Linked DNA regions of Canis lupus familiaris. The protein of the gene in region 1 interacts with the protein of each later gene in a pairwise test. Links are inferred from orthologs where the notes say so. Each region holds a gene or a part of one and is shown in the gene's direction. Other genes may lie near its edges.

The links.
Region 2: the proteins of GIT1 (region 1) and PPFIA4 interact in a two-hybrid assay, tested with the Homo sapiens proteins (2 studies listed by BioGRID). The link is inferred for Canis lupus familiaris from reciprocal best matches to the Homo sapiens genes GIT1 and PPFIA4.

What each region holds. Positions count from the first base shown.
Region 1 is NC_049230.1:43,652,708-43,658,902, reverse strand, and holds part of GIT1 (ARF GTPase-activating protein GIT1), read left to right. Parts: intron 1-1,074; coding exon 1,075-1,208; intron 1,209-1,691; coding exon 1,692-1,804; intron 1,805-1,925; coding exon 1,926-2,031; intron 2,032-2,576; coding exon 2,577-2,794; intron 2,795-2,879; coding exon 2,880-2,974; intron 2,975-3,309; coding exon 3,310-3,352; intron 3,353-5,327; coding exon 5,328-5,354; intron 5,355-5,529; coding exon 5,530-5,578; intron 5,579-5,980; coding exon 5,981-6,053; intron 6,054-6,195. UniProt on the Homo sapiens protein: GTPase-activating protein for ADP ribosylation factor family members, including ARF1.
Region 2 is NC_049228.1:253,027-259,221, reverse strand, and holds part of PPFIA4 (liprin-alpha-4), read left to right. Parts: intron 1-544; coding exon 545-642; intron 643-787; coding exon of another isoform or gene 788-956; intron 957-1,247; coding exon 1,248-1,423; intron 1,424-2,181; exon of another isoform or gene 2,182-3,394; coding exon 3,395-3,463; intron 3,464-6,195. UniProt on the Homo sapiens protein: May regulate the disassembly of focal adhesions. May localize receptor-like tyrosine phosphatases type 2A at specific sites on the plasma membrane, possibly regulating their interaction with the extracellular environment and their association with substrates.

The sequences.
Region 1 (6,195 bases):
GCTGCTTTCTCCCCTGTGACCTTTCCACAGCCTGAGCTGTATGCAGCTGTCTCCTCCCCTCTCCCAAGGGGCCGGGGATGGGCGACATCTCCCCTGCCCCTGAGAAGGACCCTATCCTGGCCCCCTCTTCTTGTTTCCAAAGTTTGCTTCTCTCCAAGTAGTGGAGAGTGCCCTCCAGGGCCCTTGCCCACTTGGGGCTTCTTCCTTAGGGGCAGGAGCAGAAGGAGAGCAGTGGGTGTGAACAGGGCACGGTTTCTGGCATCTTGTGCTGGGTCCACATCCCAGCAACCCCACTCACTAGCTTTGTGACCTTGAGCCAGCACTCTAATCTCTCTGAGCCACTGTTTCTCATTGGTATAGCAAGGGTAGCGCTTCCTGCCTTGCCTAACAGTTGTGAGAGACATCGTGCATACAGGCCCAGCTAGTACAGAGTGGGTATCCAGTTTTAGTTCCTTTGCCCTCTCCATCCCAGTTAAGAGGGGTTCCGGCTCAGCCCATCAGTGATGAGGCCAGGAAGCTCAGCATGAGAAGGCCTCTTGCCTGCCAAGACGAGGACAGAGGCAGGAGCCCATGGAAGCATACAGTGGGTCGGGCTGGTGGGCCAGTGGGTCCAGCAGAAGCCTGGGTGCAGGAGGCATGTGGCACTGACCCAGACACAGGAGGGGTACCTAGGGTTGTCTGGCACGCTACAGCAATGTTGCATCCCTTAGGGGATTCCTGCCTCCGGGGGAAGGGCTAGCCAATTGTCTTGTTCCCTGGGAAAGGCTGCAGGACAAGAAGATGTGCCGGCTGAGTAGACCCTGGGGACCACTCCCCCCACTCACCCCTAGACAGGCAGAGATGTGTAGGCAGGGGCACAGCTGCCAGTCACCTGCTGTGAGCCTTTGGGGAAATCCCTCCTACGCCATGGCTCAGCTTCCTCATCAGTAACCTGTGTGCCCTGATGGTCCCAGCTCCTGGGGCTTTGGGAAGCTGAGTAAGGGAACGTGTGAGCATGGTGTGAGCCCAGAGCAGGTGCCCAGGAGACATTGCCTGTGATCTGGCCTTGGCTGACCCTGGTTCCCCCACTGGCAGACCCCGGCTGGGCTTCCATCAGCAGGGGAGTGCTGGTGTGTGACGAGTGCTGCAGTGTGCACCGGAGCCTGGGCCGCCACATTTCCATCGTCAAGCACCTTCGCCACAGCGCCTGGCCTCCCACACTGCTGCAGGTACGGGGCTAGGCCGGGCGGGTCTTCATTCTGCAGAATGTGCTGAGCATGGACACGTTTCCCCCTACACTCACTCTGCTCGGGATTTTGGCAGCTTCCAAAGGGCAGCACTCACCTGGGGCAGAACCTGACTCTGACCCTTTCCGCCCATTATGCTAGCCATGCAGACAGGAGGCTTCTAAGACTGGGGTCTTACAGATCTGGGCACTCACCCCAGCTCTGCCATGTACTAGCTTGGCCATGTAGCACTGAGCAAGTCACTTAACTTCTCTGAGCCTTGGCACGCTTGCTGTGCCACCTGAAGTGCCAAGTGGGACCCACATGCTCGAGTGGCCCACCTAGTTGAAGGTGCACCGGTGGCAGGTACACAGGAGGCCCATTGGTACTGCTTCTAGCTCCGCTGGCTGCAGCCAGCACTTGGAGGGGTTTCCCCCAGTAGCCGGTGCACAGTGGGCACCCTGACTTGGCACCTCTTCCCTGCAGATGGTGCACACGCTCGCCAGCAACGGGGCCAACTCCATCTGGGAGCATTCCCTGCTGGACCCTGCACAAGTGCAGAGTGGCCGGCGCAAAGCCAACCCCCAAGACAAAGTCCAGTGAGTTGGGCCAGAGGGGTGGTGGCAGGGGGTGCATGGTCTGAGATGCGGGTCCAAGAGGTGGACCGGTGACTGGCCTCTCCCGCTCTGCTCACCGTCGCATCCTATGCGCCCTGCCCAGCCCCATCAAGTCAGAATTCATCAGGGCCAAGTACCAGATGCTGGCGTTTGTGCACAAGCTTCCTTGCCGGGACGATGATGGGGTGACTGCCAAAGATCTCAGCAAGGTTGGAGGGGCCCCATGGGGGATGGGTGGGCCTCCTCTCTTGTCACCTGTGACACCCTTTAGGGCCTCTCCTGCATCACCACTGAGCCCTAGGCCTCAAAGGTGTTCAGGTCAGGCAAGAATAGGGGGTACAGCAGGGGGACAAGATTGTGTGGTCAGGTAGCATGTGGTCAAGGCCCCTCAGCTCCCAAGTGGACACAACAGGGCTAAAATCCTCCATCTGCCACTCAAATGCTGTGAAGACTTGGGGCCATTTCTTAGCCACTCAGAGCCTCAGTCTCCTCTGTAAAATGGGAAAGAACGAACAGCATCTCCCTCATAGACAACATCTGTCTCAACCAGAGTTCGCAGCCCAGGTAGCCAGTGACTGATGGCAGCTCTTGTTTGGCATTAACTCCTTGGGGGAAGTCCTCTGTCCTCCCTGACAACCCAACTTCAGCTGGGCCCCTGGAGCTGGTAGGAGTCCCAGCAGCTGCCTGACGTGGTACAGCTTGAGGAGGGGCAGGGCCTCATACACACATCAGTGGCACACTCTGCTCCTTGCAGCAACTGCACTCAAGTGTTCGGACAGGCAACTTGGAGACGTGTCTGCGCTTGCTGTCCCTGGGTGCCCAAGCCAACTTCTTCCATCCAGAGAAGGGCACCACACCTCTGCACGTGGCTGCCAAGGCGGGGCAGACACTGCAGGCTGAGCTGCTCGTGGTGTATGGGGCTGACCCAGGCTCCCCTGATGTGAATGGCCGCACACCCATTGATTATGCCAGGTGAGGGTCAGATGGTGGGTGAGGCTTTGGCGGGTGGGGGTGCTAGGCTGCTGCTGCAGGGCTGAGGCATGCCCCCTCCCCACAGGCAGGCGGGGCACCATGAGCTGGCGGAAAGGCTAGTCGAGTGCCAGTATGAGCTCACTGACCGGTTGGCCTTCTATCTCTGTGGACGCAAGCCGGGTGAGCAGAGCTCCGGGCAGGCCTGGGAGGGCCAGGCAGGTGGGACCCAGACACACCCCAGCAGCAGGTGCCATGGTGACAAAGCTGGCTGGGGAACGGTGTTGCTAGGCAACTGGCTCCTGTGAAATTGATGCAGGCTCTTGGCTACAGCACACTGGGATAGGAGTGGGGGTGGGCACAACTTCAGTCAGCTCCCATGGCTCTTGGGGGTGGCCTGCCCTCCTCCCTGTCCCCTGACACTTCTGGGTGCCAAGCCCTGCTCATGGCAGTGAGATGGGCTCCCAGTTGCCCAGGCCAGCTTGCACCAGTGACTTGGCATTTTTATTTTTGTTCAGATCACAAGAATGGGCATTACATCATCCCACAGATGGCTGACAGGTGAGTGCCCACCTGATGCCCCTTCCCAGAGGCTGTTGGATGCCATGTGGGTGCCTGAGCCCAGAGCTTCCACCCTTCCATCTCCCCAGGCTGTAGGGTCCTCCACTCTCTGGGGGCTGGCATTTCTGCCCAGTCCTCACTCCCCGATGCTGGGCCCCCAGGCAGGTGAGAGATGTCAGCTCAACATATGGCCAGCACAGCCTGAGCCCTATGGCTATCCCACACAGGCTCGAGTACAAGAACACCTGCCCTAGGAGTGGTGGATTGCGGACTTGTTTCCAGTGGCACTCACCCCACTGTACAATCTTTAGACAAACCTCTGTTCTTCGGTGAACAGATGGTGGGCTCCAGGGATTTGACTAACTTCGGGACTGCTGAGCAGGCCTCTGTGGGGTGCTCAGAAATTGTGCAGGGGCTGGGGTGCAGGGCACAGTACTATTGAGGTGTTTCTGCCTCTGATTTGATGATCTCAGGCGCCTAGGCTGTGGGGACCACTCACTCAGCTTACGAGATGGATGCTAGCGCCACCTAGTGGCCACTTCTGATGGCCAAGCCTCGCCAGGCTTTGCCAGCTGGCCTGGGGGTCTGAGAGAGAGGAGGCTCTCTCTTCCTCTCCGAAGGCCAGTGTGGGCAGACAGGGATGGTCAGGCCTAGGCAGCTTGGATCCTTGAACCCAGACCTACTCTGTTCTGAGACGCCGAGCGACCCTCCTGCTTCTCTGGTCTTACTCTGCCTGGTGTGTGTGTTTCAAACACATATCGGCATGTACTCAGTGAAATGGTGACCGAGCTCCGTTCCGGTGCCAGCTACTGTTCTCGGCCCTGAAACACAGAGGTAACTCAGACGTGATCTCTGCCCCAAAGGAGCTTGCAGTATGGAGAGGGAGGCCGCCTACTCAAGACAGCTGTAGTTCCCTGTGGGGAGTACCGCAAGAGAAATAAGGGCATAGATGATATAAGTGGGAAGTGCTGTGCAGGGAACTGCAGGCAGTCTGTGGGGCTGGAGTATAGTGTGAGGAATCCCAGGACAGGACTGGGATAGAAACAGGCGAGAGAATGGCCAGTCCTGTGAGCCCCCACAGGAGTAGACAGGATTCCAAGCACTGATGTGTGGAGTCAGCTCTGCCATTTATTGGCTGTTTGACTTCAGGCAGGCTGCTTGACCTCTCTTAGTTACCTCGTGGCATTGAGGGCAAGAGTTCCTGCCTTTTCTGGGCTGTTGAGAGGATTAAGTAAGATAATGCATGCCAAGCACATAGCATATTGTTTAAGTGAGCTTTTTGTTTAAGTACGGTTAAAGTATACCCCATACACATATTTTGTTATTGAGTTGTTTCTAAGGCCAGGAATAGCATGGCCCAGTGTGTCAGAAACATCACCCCAGCTGCTGGGTGGGAAAGGGGATTGTAGGGGAAGGATCAGAAGTGGGAAGATGGATGAAGAAACTCTAGCAAACAGGCAGCCCTGGGGAGGGGGAGGGGGCGGGGGGGGGTTGTTGCTCAGCGGTTTAGCACCACCTTCAGCCAGGGCGTGATCCTGGAGACCTGGGATCGAGTCTCACATCTGGCTCCCTGCATGGAGCCTGCTTCTCCCTCTGCCTGTGTCTCTGCCTCTCTCTCTCTCTCTCTCTCCCTCTTTGTGTCTCTCATGAATAAATAAATAAAATCTTAAAAAAAACAAAACAAAACAAAACAACTCTGGCAAAGGACTAGGGAAGAGAGACTGAGGGCAGAAGCTGGGGGAAGCTCCACCGGGGCCGGGGACACAGGTGCCCAGGGAGTGGGGCACAGAGGGAGAGAGCAAGCCTGTGGAGGAGCAGGTTGTGGGGGGAGACGAGTTCTGTTGTGTGCACTCTGGGGCTCACGTGTGCACAGAGGTGGGCATGAGTTTGCCCCGGGAAGGCTTGCACTGCCCTGCTCCTGGGTAATTGGTGCCTCTGTCCTGTTCTTTCCTCTGCTGCCTCCCTCTGGACTTAGATCTCGGCAAAAGTGCATGTCTCAGAGGTATATGGTGCCTGCTGCGGGAGCAGGCTCTGGAGGTGGGAGGGCTGGGGGGGGTGTTTGGTGTGCAGCATCTGGGATGTTGTCTTCCTGGGATCCCTGCATGTTCTGGAGTCACAGGCGGGGGCCTGGCCACCTCTAATGTCTGCCCATTCCCATCTCCCTCCTTCATCTACAGCCTAGACCTGTCTGAGTTGGCCAAAGCTGCCAAGAAGAAGCTGCAGGCGGTGAGTCTGCTTGGACAGGCCCCTGATGCTTAGAGCTGTCCCCATTTCTGACCTACACCCCTGCCATTGGTCCCCCTCCCTCCTGCCTTCCTGGCTCCCTCCCTATCCCCTCCCAGCCTTTTGTCTTTGACTCTGGCTCTGCCCTCTGCAGGCTTCAGGGCCCTAGCTTCCCCTCTGATCTATGAGGGCACTAACTGTTCTGACCTGGTCTCTCTCTGTCGTCTCCCACCTTGGAGCTTGACAGAGAGACCCCTGCCTCAGTTTCCAGTTCTGAGAAGGGGCTAGGCAGCACAGGGGACACAAGCCATTTCCCATGTCTTATGACATCTTGGTTGGGCTGGCCTTGTCAGCACTAGGGAGCAATTGATCTGACAAAGCCTGGGTCCCCCTCTTTGCCTCTAGCTCAGCAACCGGCTTTTTGAGGAACTTGCCATGGATGTGTATGACGAGGTGGATAGAAGAGAAAATGATGCTGGTGAGCCAAGAGGGCATCTAAGGTCATGGGTGGATGAGATGAGGGTACCTGCCCGCCTGCTGCAGAAGGGCTAGGACCTGGTGTGGCTCTCAGGTCCTTTCACTGGGACCAAGAGGGGATGCCTGGGGTTGGTCTGCTCAGC
Region 2 (6,195 bases), on another chromosome or scaffold:
TTTAAATCAGGTGGACAAGGTGACCAATGAATTGAGAAGATGACATTTAAGGAGAGACATAAAGGAGACAGGGGTGAGTCATGCAACGGATTGGGGAAGGAGTGCTGCAGGCAGACAGGAGTCAGTGTACAAAGGCAAATCATGTAGCCTACATAGGTCATTGTGAGGACTCTGAGTGAAATGGGGAATCAAAGAAATATCTGTGGGGCTCTTTCTGTAGCATCATATCGTTATGAGTCAGATACCTGTAGCATCATTCTAGTGCCTAAAGAGTGGGGGGGATGTTGCTTCATTCAGAGAACTGTCCTTCCAACAATCAGACCCATACCCGGCCTAGAGGGAGGACATGGGGTGGGCAGTGGAGGGGAAGGAGCCTTGGACCAAATCCCATGCATGCCCCTGGAGGAGGAGGCGCAGGGGTGGGCTGGGGTGCAGCGTGTGCCGGGAGACATGGGCCTGGACATGTTGTGGCTGGCGCTGGACGTGGGGCAGAGGACAGGGACGTGGCCCCACTGAGGCTCTGCTCAGGGCTGTGTGCCTGCAGGACCAGTCTTCAGTACGGCATCATGTGTCTGAAGAGGCTCAATTACGACCGGAAGGAGCTAGAGAGACGACGGGAGGAAAGCCAGCATGAGATCAAGGGTAAGCTTGTCCAGCCCAGCATGGGGGCAGCCTTGGGGGGCAGGCCCCTGCCTCACCGTCCCCTGCCCCGCGTGAGTGGCGGGCGGGGGAGGCATTCCGTGTCTCAGGGAAGCTCCAGACCTAGGGACATGGTCTGTGCCCGAAGGGTGTTGCCATCTGGTGGAGAAGAAACAGTTCCTGCCCAGTCAGCTGCACCCCCCACCCCGCCCGCCAGTGGCCACCGGCTGGACCAGCACAGTGAACCCCCAGGCCGGTCCTGTAGACGGGTGTGGGAAGGTGGTCGTGCGGCTTGGTGATGTGGGCGGCACTGAGCAGTAAGGAGACAAGTCTGAGAAGACTCTTTGGAGGTGGAGAAAGAAGGGGATGGTGCCAGCCTAGGGGCAGGAGGCGGCCCCCGCAGGGGCTCCGGGGGAAGCCGAGAGCCACCTGGCCTGGAGTCTGGCAGGGGTGGAGGGTGCTGGGGCTGCTTCTTCAGGAGCCCGGGTGCCGGGGAGGAGGGAGAGGACACGGGAAGCGGGTGGACTGGAGCACTGGGCGCGGGGAGCCCCGCTTCTGCAGGCCGAACCTGTTGCTTCTTCCTGCCCCTTGCTTGCCGTGCCCTGCAGACGTGCTCGTCTGGACCAACGACCAGGTGGTGCACTGGGTGCAGTCCATTGGGCTCCGGGATTACGCAGGAAACCTGCAGGAGAGCGGCGTGCACGGAGCCCTGCTGGCCCTGGACGAGAACTTCGACCACAACACGCTGGCCCTGGTCCTGCAGATCCCCACGCAGAACACCCAGGTGGGCAGCCCTGTCCCGTCCCCCCGCCCCACTCTCCCGCCCTCTCCCCCTCCCGCTCACACACACAGGCTAGGGATTTGTTGGGGGGACTGTGCTAGAGCCTGTGTCGGGGGGACACGATGTCCTCGAACCCCCAAGCCGCCTAGGAAGCAAGTGTCCTTCACACGTGACGGGCAGGCACCCAGACCACGCTGCCGTGGGCACCCTCACCCTCTACAAGCCCCACCTTCACCTTTGACCGCTGCGGCGACCTTTCCTTGCTCTGCTTTTCTGACCTGACTGCTCTTAGAGGAGGACTAGCCCTGGGGCCCGAGGGGACCCGAGAGCCCGCCGTCTCCTCTGTCCCCGCCTGAAGGACAGGCCTCTGGGCCCCGCGGGTGGAGAGAGCTCACTGCACCAGATGCCACAGCCCAGAGCCTCCCCGGGCCAGGGCTTTGTGTCCCTGCCACAGCTGAGAAGACGAGATGTCTCCTTGAATCCCATTTCATAATCACTGCGGAGCTGTCGTCCAGGACTACCTGAGCTCCCTTGGGCTAATTTACACATTTGGCCTCTTGAACTTCCTGTGGGTGGCGGACGCTGGAAGTGCTACCTGTTGCCCGGAGCCCCTCCTGTCGTGCTGGCTCCCGCCGTCCAGGCCTCCTCCACACTGATTGGGGTTGACCCGGCCTCACCTCTTGTCATTTCACCGCCTCTGATTGTGTTGCGCGGAGCCCAGGCCTTTGGGGCTCCAGACGGAGTGGTCCTAATTCTTTTAGGCTTTCCTCATATAGACGCGCCTCCTGCCCTGATCGGTTTAGCCGCCCTCGTCTGGACTGTTTGCAGCTGTCAGGTCTCTTGAAATTCAGCCGCTAGAGCCACAAAAGCTATTCCGAGAGCAGATGTGTCTCGGCCTGCGTGAGGGTAGGCTGTGTCGGCCCATAACCTGGGGGCGTGCTGGTACTTTGGGGGTGCGGGGCGGCACACGGGCCCGGTGGGCCCCCCGCTGACCTGCAGAGTGAACATGGATCCTCAATTCCCTAAGCAAAGCTGAGATCCCCCAGTTCCCCCGCACGTGCTCGCCCGCCCCACAGCTTTGGGGGACGGTCACCGGAGGAGCAGTGTCATCTGGATGCCTGGAAGTGGACGATGCTCCTCCTCTTGCATCACTCATGAGAATCACCTTCTCGATGCTGACAGTTCCTGCGAGGCTCCGTGGTTAACGTTTTCCACCCAGAAATGGGCTTGTTCTTCTCCAGCGTCGGTCTCCTGTCCACACGTGTCCGCGCCTCTGCAGAGCAGCAGGAGGCCCCTCCGGCGCTTGCGAACCTTCCGGTTTTCCTGCCTGGTCCATTTAGCGCAGCTGTTAGGGGCGGCGGGAGCCGACCCGGTGTGGAATTCTTCACCAACTGTGGTTGAGAGTATCTGGTGGCCGTTTACAAAACTTTGTTGTTTCTGACGTTTCCCAAATCTCCTGCTGACTTAGGCTCCTGGAAGGTTTGGTCAAGGCCTATAGGCACGAGTCCGCCCAGGAGCCACAGGCCGTAGGACTGCGCCATCCTCCTGATTTAAATTTGTGATGTGGAGCCTTATGAAATAGGTTTCTTTCATCTAAATACACTAAGTCCTTATTTTCCATGGTCTCCATGCTCACTTACCCTCCAGAAGGGTAGTGACGCATGATTTTTCCCATATACACAGAATGTAGGGTTTTCCCCCCGTAAGTGACCTGTGCAAACGTATTCTGTGGTCTGACTTTGTGCAAAGTTACAGTTTTCTAATGGGCCCCACAGGAAAGAGTCCTAAGGCTGACAGGTCCACTTCTAAGAGGACACTGAGGTTTGCCTGAAGGAGCAGCGTTGGGGCTTGCGGGTTAAATGCACCGAAAGCTCCATCTCTGCCCTTGGGCCTCGAGGAAACAGGAGCAGCCTGGCAGAGAGGTCACTAACTCTACCCCTCTCATCTCTCCGTCTCTGCATCCATGGACTCCAGGCACGCCAGGTGATGGAACGAGAGTTCAACAACCTGTTGGCCTTGGGCACAGACCGGAAGCTGGATGATGTGAGTCCTTGGCTGTGAATTAGGGGCCCTTGGGGTTTGGGCATTGGTGGTTCGTTGGGTTGAAATTCCTGAGCTGTGCTTTCCTTGGGCCAAAGATCGGTGGCCGAAGGGAGGAAGCTGGGGGGAATTGGGATGATGGTGGGGAGGCGCAGGGGCAGGCCTGGCAATAGGCCTAGGGACGTCTCATGAAACTGCTCGCACAAAAACCAAAGGCTCCTGTGGGTCACGCGTCTGGCGTCTTCCAACTCTGTGCCCCGCCGCCCTCCTAGGCACGCAGGGTCACGGGTGCCCCACAGAGGCCACCGCTTTGAGATCACGCCTTTTTCTTAATTTCCGACCCCATGTCTCAGTGCTCTTGGCACTGCACAGCTCCAGCCTGCTTATCAGGATGCCCATGCTGTGGGAGCGTGCTGGCTCACGGGGTGGCATCTGGCCGAGGCCCTGCAGTGACCGGCCTGCCTGCTCGCACCGGGGCACGTGGCTCAGATGCATGAGCAGCGCGCGGCTTCCTCCCTGGTTCTACTCTTGAGTTAGCTTCAAGCCACGTTAAGGTTCTCCTCTCCTGACCCCCTGGTCAACGAAAAACCGGCCTTTCCCCCTGGGTTTCGGGGGCCTTTCCCTGAGTTTAGGCTGCTCTGTGTCCAGGAGGACCCGGGAGGCCCTGGGCCTGTCGCCCGAGGATGCAGCCCTTTCCTCGGCCCTCCTCCCTCTGCTCCCTCCCTCCGCTCCCTTCTCACTTTCCCATCACCAGCCTCGTCTACCTTTGCGTATCAGGTCAGCGCTGGCCGCCTGGGCTCCAAACAAGTCAAAAAAGAGCCCAGATTATTTATTTTTAGCATCTCCAGCTTCAATCAGGTCTGTTTCTTCTGATCTCCGTGGTCTATGTAGCTTCCCTTTCTGCACACCCTGCCCCGCCCAGCGCCGCTGTTTGGACTTTGGGGCCTGCTTGGGGGACACCGTCAGTGCTACCGACCTGTTAGTCTTTCTTAGCCAGGCTTAACAGGGCTAACGTGCCCCTCCGTGCACCGGCCGTTCTGCTTCAGCAGACCAGACACACGCGGGAACACACAGAATTCGTGGAGGGGTGTTTTCTTCAGAGGTACCTTGAAATTTAGACTGTGATCTTCACACACACATGCGATATACGTGCGTGCATGAGCGTGGCCGTACCGGCTGCCCCCGCTCTCAGAGGTCTGGATTTCCCCAGGGCCCCTGCCATGTGGACCCTCCTCTCACTCGCCCCCACACCTAGGAGCTTGGTTTTCTTGATGCTGCTTAGAAAAATGACTCCCATGGATCTTAGCGTGGTGCTTTCTAATTAGAAATCTACGTATCTCTTCAATCCTTACAAAAATATTCTTCGAAGGCCCTCTCAGGGCCAGGCATTGGCCCAGGCATGGGGTAGAGTGGTGGCCGACGTCCCTTTACACATCACGTGGACCAGGTCATGATCCCACCTGACGGGCTGATGAGGGACTAAGCCCACAGGGGACTTGCATGTACCACAGGCTGATGTGCGGCAGAGCAGGGACGGAACAGAACCGCCTCTGGTTCCTGTTCTCTCCTCGACACCCTGCTGTCCCCTCGGAGTGCACAGGGCTAGCCAGCCTCTCAGGCTTTGGACCCTGGGGTGGGGTTACTGAGGTGATGATGTCATCGATGATGTCATCTTGGCAGCACAGCGGACTTCCGGGATACAGCGAGGTGCGGGCTGCAGAGGACTGGTTCTTGCAGGAAGCTCACAGTGGAAAGGCCAGGTTCTGGGAACGAGGTGAGGTTTGGTGATGGTGGGCACAGTGCGGGTCAGAGCTCCGGGGAGATGCTTCCTGTCTGGCCGTCTAGCACAGCATCAGCAACTGTGAGCTGACTCCAGCTGCCTCCTCTTTCAGTCCTGGTTCTCAGTTTCCCCTCTCCGGCTTCAAGGCCCCGAAGGCTTGCACAGTAGGACTTGAGGGAGAAGAGGAGGGGAACAGAATGAACGTGTGGTAGGGGACAAGTGATAGGGTCGGCTGAAGGTGGAAATGGGGGGGAGCAGGGAGGGAGAGAGGAAGGGACAACAGTCTGGTTTGGGTTGAGGGCAGGATCCTGGAGCAAAAGAAACGAGGAAAGTTCCTGATGAACTCATGGATGGGAAGCCTGCGGGGGAAACCAGCTGACATCCATTCCTTCAACGGCCATTTATTGAGCCCTACAGTGTCCTTAAGCACTACCTTGGGGGCTGGGGATATGTCGGTCGGAACAAAAAAGATCCTGGTCTCGGTCCTGTGGAGCACAGAATTTGAAAGTCAGCGGGAGAGTTGAGGGAGTGGGGTGGAGGGACGTGGAGAGAAAGCTCAGGGAAATAACCTAAGCACAGGAAAACACGACGCTACGGTGCGGTGCGTGCCGTACCTGGTGCCAGGAGTCATAGGGGCCTTTGGCCTTGGGACTGGGCCGGGCTGCGGGGCCCTTGCGCCTCTGGCAGCTCTCTGCCTGCGCCGGTTCTGAGAACACGGGTGGGTCTCCATTGGGGTCGGGGCATGGGGAGATGAGGCACGGCTGCCAAGCAGGGTGGGAGTGGGCTCTGCAGGGCGGGAGGGAGCCGTGCAGAGGGTGGGGAGGTGGCCGTGCAAAAGGGGGGGGAAGGGGCTGTGCATAGGGCTCTGCAGGGTGGGGAGGGGGCCATGCACAGGGCTCTGCAGGGCGGGAGGGGGCCGTGCACAGGGCCATCCCGCAGGCCAGGGCTCTGGGTG